Linked DNA regions of Nothobranchius furzeri. The main gene of each other region encodes a partner of the protein of the gene in region 2 in a complex. Links are inferred from orthologs where the notes say so. Each region holds a gene or a part of one and is shown on either strand. Other genes may lie near its edges.

Evidence for each region.
Region 1: the proteins of mapkap1 (region 2) and kras are in contact, whole or in part, in a crystal structure (PDB 7LC1), measured with the Homo sapiens proteins. The link is inferred for Nothobranchius furzeri from reciprocal best matches to the Homo sapiens genes MAPKAP1 and KRAS. Residues at the interface, in NP_001006618.1 of Homo sapiens: Phe280, His287, Gly288, Phe289, Ser290, Leu291, Ile292, Gln293, Lys307, Lys310, Arg311, Arg312, Lys313, Gly314, Ser315, Phe363, Glu365, Ile369, Val374, Met377, Leu378, Ser380, His381, Tyr484, Glu487, Ser488; in NP_001356715.1 of Homo sapiens: Ile21, His27, Val29, Glu31, Asp33, Pro34, Ile36, Glu37, Asp38, Ser39, Tyr40, Arg41, Leu56, Glu62, Glu63, Tyr64, Ser65, Ala66, Met67, Asp69, Gln70.

Annotation. Positions count from the first base shown.
Region 1 is NC_091744.1:73,819,212-73,823,029, forward strand, and holds part of kras (GTPase KRas), read left to right. Parts: intron 1-1,372; coding exon 1,373-1,551; intron 1,552-1,801; coding exon 1,802-1,961; intron 1,962-3,818. UniProt on the Homo sapiens protein: Ras proteins bind GDP/GTP and possess intrinsic GTPase activity. Plays an important role in the regulation of cell proliferation.
Region 2 is NC_091746.1:36,982,817-36,987,189, reverse strand, and holds the start of mapkap1 (target of rapamycin complex 2 subunit MAPKAP1), read right to left. Parts: upstream 2,908-4,373; 5' UTR 2,693-2,907; intron 1,073-2,692; 5' UTR 909-1,072; coding exon 626-908; intron 1-625. UniProt on the Homo sapiens protein: Component of the mechanistic target of rapamycin complex 2 (mTORC2), which transduces signals from growth factors to pathways involved in proliferation, cytoskeletal organization, lipogenesis and anabolic output.

The DNA.
Region 1 (3,818 bases), on a different chromosome or scaffold from region 2:
TGGAAAAAGGGCTTTGACAGAAACCTCTCTGTAATTTGAACTCTTCTAGAAAGCAGAGTGCCCCGCTACAACTAGAAAGGGGCGATAATGAAGCTGCGTCCCGTGGCATCTTTTATGTAAACATGTCATCAGAGACATTAACACAGTCGGGGCTGAGCAATTAAAAATGTGTATCATGTTTTTCACGAATTAAAAAAGGTCAGTGAGATCATACCCAGGCCAGGAGTAAAAATCTAGCATATAAGTGAAGCATGGCTAACACTGTAAGTCCTGTTGTTGTTTTTTAAAAACCTCCTTGGTGTATTGGCCAGAATCTGGCGATATGATATATATCACTGAAAAGGGGAGATGATAAGATGACCTTTGATGTTAAAACCAGATTATATTAGTAATGTTAAAAGATGAATTTAACAGTTTATGCCACAAATCCCAATTTTGACACTTCCTGACATTTTAGTCAGCTGAATTACTTTTGGGCTGCAGTAACGGTAGTTTTCTCTAAAGCATTTTAAAAGAGATACTTAGCAACTTTTTCATATTTTTAAATCATTTTCTTGAGCCAGTATGTGCTAAAATGACCCTTTCCAGGGTTAATGAAAGGCCTAGCGCCCCCTGTGGCCAGAATATCCCACTTGCAGCTTCACAGTTGCCGGTCTGGTCTGTTGGAAAAAATGGGCGTGCATACCTGGCGCTGCAGTCTGCGTCTGTCACATTTCCTGTATTAACACAGCTGATTTGTTTAATTTAGTGATGAATCAGCACTCTAGACACTAAGGAAGGCTGGGAGGCGTTTCAGCTGTTAGATTAAGGTGTGTTTGTTTGAAAGTGGTTAATAAAGATTATTTTTAAAGTAGTACAGTCAACGACCTTGATGCGTTGTGGTCGATGACGCAATGTTCACTTTCCCAATTCGGCAATTGCTCACTTGTTTACCACACACGCAAAACCTTACTGCGCACTTCTACCAAGTGCACTTTGCTGAAGACCGTAGGGCGCAGTGTGAGTATTGGTATTTGGACCCTAGCTTGTATCAGTTAGCAACCCAAAACAGAAGCTTAACTACTCTTCAAAGTTATGAGTGTAGGTGCTAGAACTGTATGATTTTAAGATAAAGGTTGAATTGTGATTTCTATCTGAGAAATTGAGATTTCAGTTCAGTTATAATTTTCTTCCAGTCAAGGTTCAGCACATTATTCACAGTATTGTTTAATATATAATATATCATAAAATCTAATCATTAGAAAAACATCAAAAGCAATAATATTAGGCAGTTGTTATCAATATCAACCAATATTTTCTTACATCCCTATTCGACAGACTTTTGTAGATTTTGGTAGTTTATTTATTTATTTTTTGCTCTTTACGATCCCAGGATTCCTACAGAAAGCAGGTGGTGATCGATGGAGAGACGTGTCTGCTGGATATTCTGGACACGGCAGGTCAAGAGGAGTACAGCGCCATGAGAGATCAGTACATGAGGACAGGGGAGGGCTTCCTCTGTGTCTTTGCCATCAACAACTCAAAGTCTTTTGAGGACATTCACCACTATAGGTGAGTTAGGAGGAGGAACTAAAATAGTCATTGAGAGCAAACATCAACACAAGATGTAAGGAAAACCATGAAAATGTATTTTGAATCCTACTTGAATAAAAGTTTTTTGGAGTTTTTGGAACATAATCTTAAATGAAAACTATCATGTTTCATTAGAACTTTGTTAGCATAGAAACTCTGGTGATCAGTTAGATCATTCAGACTAACAAACCGTTTTATGTTGATTTAAAATCTGTTTTTGAACATTCAGAGAACAAATTAAGCGGGTGAAGGACTCTGAGGACGTCCCCATGGTGTTGGTGGGGAACAAGTGTGACCTCCCATCCCGAACGGTGGACACAAAGCAGGCTCAGGACTTAGCACGCAGCTACAACATTCCCTTTATTGAGACCTCAGCCAAAACGAGACAGGTGAGTGCCCACACAGAGCCTCCTCACTTGTCCACTGCAGGCCAAATTCATCTTTATCCTTTTAATTGATCATGTCGGAGAACGTCAGACCCCTGCTATGTTGACAGATGTCTTTGGGAGGGTTTCTTCAATTTGGCAAGAAATGTGATTGCATCACGTGGTGCTGTTGATTTGTGTCACTTTTACTATCTCTAATGGTCTTTTTATAATAACGTTGCTGGGAAATTTACCACCTAATGTGCTGAGCATCATTAAATCCTCTTTGGTTAATTGAATTTTTTATTTATGGGGGATAATGTGATCATTGCATGCTACTTTGTCATGGATATGTGAAATTAAATCATTAGGCCCACCTGCAAAGGAACCGGCGCGATAAATAATCAGCAAATCAGTTAATTTGTGTCAAGGTGTCTGCATGAAAGGACAAACTGTCGGTAATTACTTAGCGGGTTAATGATTCTGCTTACTGGTCACTGTGACTGGGGGTTGGAAGGATAGCTGTGGTGTCTCATCCAGTGCTGTGTGTGTGTGTGTGTGTGTGTGTGTGTGTGTGTGTGTGTGTGTGTGTGTGTGTGTGTGTGTGTGTGTGTGTGTGTGTGTGTGTGTGTGTGTGGTGTGTGTGGTGTGTGTGTGTGTGTGTGTGTGTGTGTGTGTGGTGTGTGTGTGGTGTGTGTGTGTGTGTGTGTGTGTGGTGTGAGCATGGCCTTAGGAAGCTAACTGGCTGATGGAGTGATCGCTAAACACATAAATTCCTGGTCCCTGACCCGGGGTGAATCACGGTGCCTTCTGGTGTGGGGGAAATTAATGCCATGGTGACTAATTTCTTGCAGCTTTGTTCACCTATCCCAGGGGTCGGCAACCTGTTCCCATCAAAGAGCCATTATTACCCGTTTCCCACAGTAAAGAAAACACTGGGAGCCACAGCAGCCGCGGCGTTGTGGGCGGGGCCTACCCTCAGACAGCAGAGAGCTGCTTTAACCAATCACAACAGGTGACAGCAGCCAGTACCGGCCGCTCGTGTACGTCAAAGTTATCTTTCATAAGACGATAATCAATAAAACGATTTATATAAAATGGATCCAGAAGTTGTAGCCCGTCTCTGCCTACAATATTTAGATATTTTTCACCCTGTTGGTGGTTTTACTGAGCAGGTGCCACTTTTGTCATACGTTTCTTTTTAAAACATGTTTAGACTGTTCAGAATACAAATCCAGGCTCTGTCACGTTCGATTGTTGTAATTAAACTTTGTAGGTGGGGAAGGTCAGGAAAGGATCCGATCATTTTGTTTTTCCCTCATTTACAGTGACGGAAATAACGGTGCAGTGCGCCGGTGCAGTGCGCCTGGCTCTTGTGATAATCAAGTTAAATTACCGTAAATTCTCTAATACAGGCCCGGGCCTGTATTTGACTCAAGCTCATCAAGCTCCAGGCCTTTATTGGAAGGAGGGCCAGAATTAGAGGCAGGCCTCTTTTTCTATTTGAGCAAAATGAACTAATGGTTCGCTGGAGTTTTTGACAATTAAAATTGCGCTCACAAAGTTAAACACATTTCTTTTAACAACGGTAGTTTCTGCTTCAGCCCTCTCCCCCCTCCCCCTGCGCAGCGGCCGCAAACTCACTGATGCGCCTGCAGCCTCTCGGAGTTCCTGCTGCTCTAAACATTAAAATAATTATTTCATTTTCTGTTCCTCACTTCTGATTACCTTCAGTGGTGTCTGTTTGTTGCAACCACCAGGTACAAAAACTAACTTGTTTTTATTTGACTATTTTTCTGTCCTGTCTGTTTATTATCTTCCTGCATCTTCTCTCAATCCTAAAGAAAAACTGCTACCAGGGTTCATATATATTCACCTTAT
Region 2 (4,373 bases):
TGTCTTTAGTGTACTTCAAACTGGTTCACCGGGGCTGTGCGGTGCTCTGCCCGTAGCACAGTAGCTGTGGTCATAGAAGTCAACTGCTATGCTCATAGAACAGTGGCTATAACTACAACCACAGACCCAGCCCGCCTAATGAGTACCACTGGCCTATGAGCTTGACCCTCCCATAGTCCAGTCAGAATTGACAAAGCTCCTCTGGTAAGAAGCAAAACGCCTTCAAGAAGCAAGTAAGTCCAGTTGCCTTCACCAACACAGGGAGGTTGTGATGTCATACTGAACAATCAGAAACGTCATGATGATAGTGGTAATGCTAATGTGTTGTACATTTTATAAGGGGATATGTCAAGTCTCAGTTCTGGAGCCTCAAATGAAAAGAAGCAAAGGGCACACGAACACACACACAAACACGGTTCTACCTGCCTCACACCCACACATCCCACAAAACAATCAATTAAATTCACATCGACAATCATGATTCTTGTAGCAGCAGCAACATGTTTTGATAACATGATTTCCTTAAACAAAACAAACCAAACCCACATTAGTCCAGATTAGACCCCTCCAAACCTCTGAGGAACTGTACACCTACAAACACGCCAGAGCCTGGACACGAGCTCACCTGTGTTGGAGCGCCGACGAATGCCAAAGTCCCAGCTGGAGGTGATGTCCATGGACTGAGACAGCTCGCACGTATGACCGTCCACCATGCCACTGCTGTTTTCACTGAGAGAGTTTGAACCAGAAGATCCACAGCTGCTGCCAGGCACCAGAGTGAGCTGGCACTTCTCCAGATCCACATCCTGGTCTATTAATACCATCTCACACATTCCCGTATCATCGCTGGTCACGTGGGACTGTCTGATGTGGGCTAGAATGATGGCCGGATTGTCCAAGAAAGCCATTTCTAGTGCTTTACAAACAGCTTCACTCTCTGCTGAATGAGGCTCTCTCTTCAGTTTTTATTCAGCAATGTTGAAGCAGCAACTGATGATACGCAGAGAGGAATCATCTCTTCCCTCTTGTTCTCCTTACTTCTCCTTCAACTCCATTAGACAAGTCCCACTACCTGTTCAGAATGAAAAACTTAATCCACAAAGCAGGATAAAATTAAGAATCAGGACTGGTAATACATAAAAATTAATATTAATAAAATATTTTGTTTATATTAGTGTTTTGAATAGTTTGCATTGTGATACATCAATTCAAAGATACTTTAATCCCAGCGCTGCAGGAAGAAGAGTGTAGTAGTTATGATGAGAAGCTCTAATTTCTCATAAATATATAAACTGAGCTGAATTCTTGCAGTTTCACTGAGATGACAGTTTGTTACTGGGCACACCGGGCTGCTATGGATGGACATAAACAGAGAATACAACAAAAACAAAATAGGTTTCACACTCAGCTTATCTGAATATTGTTCATAATCTAGTCAGAAACATCAGTTTCTTTTGTTGACACTGAACGACCATGTTGTTAAATTGAACAGATAAACACCATTAGCAGGGTGAACATAGTCACATCCCATAACAGACAGAAATCACGAGATTTGCAGAAGCCACTCATATGTATTCCGCAAATCATAGTATGCTGACGAAGACAACTATACAGGCCATAAAGAGAAATGTCAATTGTTTTCTTTTGTCACATTTCCTATAAGCACAATAAAAATCTACAGTTGACAACTTTACTTGTTATTATAGTCATATCTCCATTTGCACGTGTCTACAATGTGATATCCACAATTATGTGAGAACGTGTTTCAGTTGCTAACAGGCACCAGAATTTTAATGTTGGGAAAACTGTCAACCTACGCCGCTGTTACGTTGATATGTGTTCCCCCCTCTATTTCTGCTTCTTTTGCACCCAGCTGCAAATGGAAACAAACCAAACACAAGAAATAACCCTCACCCTAACCCTTACCCTAACCATAACCATAACCACCCTGGCACCAAAAATGTATGTTTTGCATAAATATATATATTATAAATATTATGTGTAGCACAATTTTTATGCTTGTTTCAGGGTTATGGTTAGGGTAAGGGTTAGGACACATTTTTTTGCGAGTGGATGATTCAAACTCGCTGCTGAGTGCCAAAGAAACAGATCTCGGGGGGGAGACACATATCAACGCAACTTCTAGCTGCTGCGTCCGTCTGCTTCTATCTGTTTTCCAGGCGAGGCGCTGCTCATCTCAAACAAGGCCAATGTCTATGGTGGCTGTTGCGTGGCTGGATGCCACCGCCACGATTTGAGCTCGGCCCTGCTGTTTTAACCTTACACTAACGAAAAAAACCAAACTTGGTTAGCAACGGTCACATCTGAAAGTCAGTTCCAGGAACAACTTTAGCTATTGCTAACATCGACAGGTGACAATTTTCAGTGTCGAGTTTTCACTTTACCCAAAACAGTTCGTAAATAGTTTTGTTATGACTTTATTTTACGTTAAAGGCTTGTTCATTACGTTTGTACAAACGTTTAAAATATCCAGGCTGAACATTCAGGCTCAGCTAGAGTTAGCCTCCCAGCTCTTCTAACCTTCAACATTAGCGTAAAACTCAGAAGTAGCTAAGCCTTCCGTCGACAGCTAAATGTAGCAGCAATCTTTGCAATTTACACCCAGGCCGTGTCACTTCAAATGAGTAAGACGAAAATCAGCTGTGGTGTTTGAGAGAACACTGGACCTAACCTGGAATCAGAGTCAGGGTAGTTAGCCGCTCTCACTGCAGTCAAAACAAGGAGCTTCATGAAAGGCCTCGATGAGAAAGAAAAGTGTTCACAACACAAGTCTTCTTCTCCATGAAAAATAAACTCAAAAGAAAACACTACTTTACTATTTTAAATATTGTAAAATCACAACACTATCTGGAAGCCCGTTTTAATCTGTAGTGCTCAGTGCACTGCTCACCCATGGTAAATCCATTTTTACTTCCGGGTAAAGATTTTCAGAATAAAATATCTACTTTCAATGCACTTTTTGTTTTAACACCATCAACGTGCCTTTTTAAAACTTATTTTTGTTTTCTGTCGATGGGTTGCCGATGTATTACACAGCCATGTCTTCACAATTTCCTGAAAGAAACATCTAGGATTTATTTTATGTGATGGCAAGACCGAAATTTCCAAGTGTAACACCAATACTTTGTAAAACATAAATGTATTTATTCGTTCATTTATTCATTTGTTCATCATTCATTCATTTATTTTTCCAGTACAAATTTGTAATAAAAAATACAAACCGAGCAGGACTACTCACATCAAATGAAACCTCAGAGATCCTCTTTTTGATGACACAAACCACTCTGACACAACAACCACGGCTTTGACACTTAAGCCTTTTTTAAAGTCAAGCAAAAACTTTAAGAGTTGGCTTCTCCTACCTTTGAGGCTCTCTGCAAGTCAAACTTTAACTCATTAGTTTAAGTTTTACTGGCATTATCCTGTTACACAATAACACTGCAATATTCATTATGTGTTCAATACTCGTGCAATACTGGATTTCCATTGCATGTCTGTGTCTCTTGCAGAATGCTGCATAGTTTTGGAACCCAAATTTTTTAATTTTTTATTCATGGTTTTAGTGGTCGAAGGTTACAACACTAGATGCCTATGTGTATATACATGTACCTTAAGGATGCACCGGCAGCAGGCCGATACCGGTATCAGTGAAAGTTAACCAATACCAGGAACCGATACCAATGCAGTTCAATCAATCAATCAAAGCTTTATTTATAAAGTGCCTTCCGCAACCCTGTCAGGAAGCCCAAAGCACTGAACATGGTACAGTTGTAAGTAAATATATTGAAAAAATCAGGACTGGTAATATATAAAAATTAATATTAATAACACACGGGGTGGGGGTGGTCGATGTGCATGTTGTGTGCGGTGGGGTTTGCTGGCTTAGTGTGTTGGCTGATGTGGCAGCAATGAGCCTTTTAGGCATCCAGCCTGCCTAAATTACTGAAGAAGGCTGTGCCATCAGTAGCCTGGGAGACAGCAGTGCAGGGGTCTTGCTGTCCTCCAGGCCTCAGAGAACGAAAGAGAGAAGAAGTGTGGAACGAACACCACGGGGAAAGGAGCCCTGCCCCCCCCCCCCCCCCCACGCTATTTCTGTCAAGCCAGACAGAATAGCTGAAGTGCAACCAGCTTACGCAGACTCGTCCCAGAGTCTTTGATTTCTGAGTTAATTTAAACTTGAGAAAGCGCATCTGCCGAACGCTTCAGCAACGTGTACCGAGGTCAACCCGGGACTGGGCTGCCACACATCTTCGTCTTCTCTGCCAGCCCAGGTGTCTTCTGGATAACACATCCTCCGGGGTCCGGATCTAAAGGGGGTCCTGAGTACGGTGAGGCAGAACACGATAGATAAC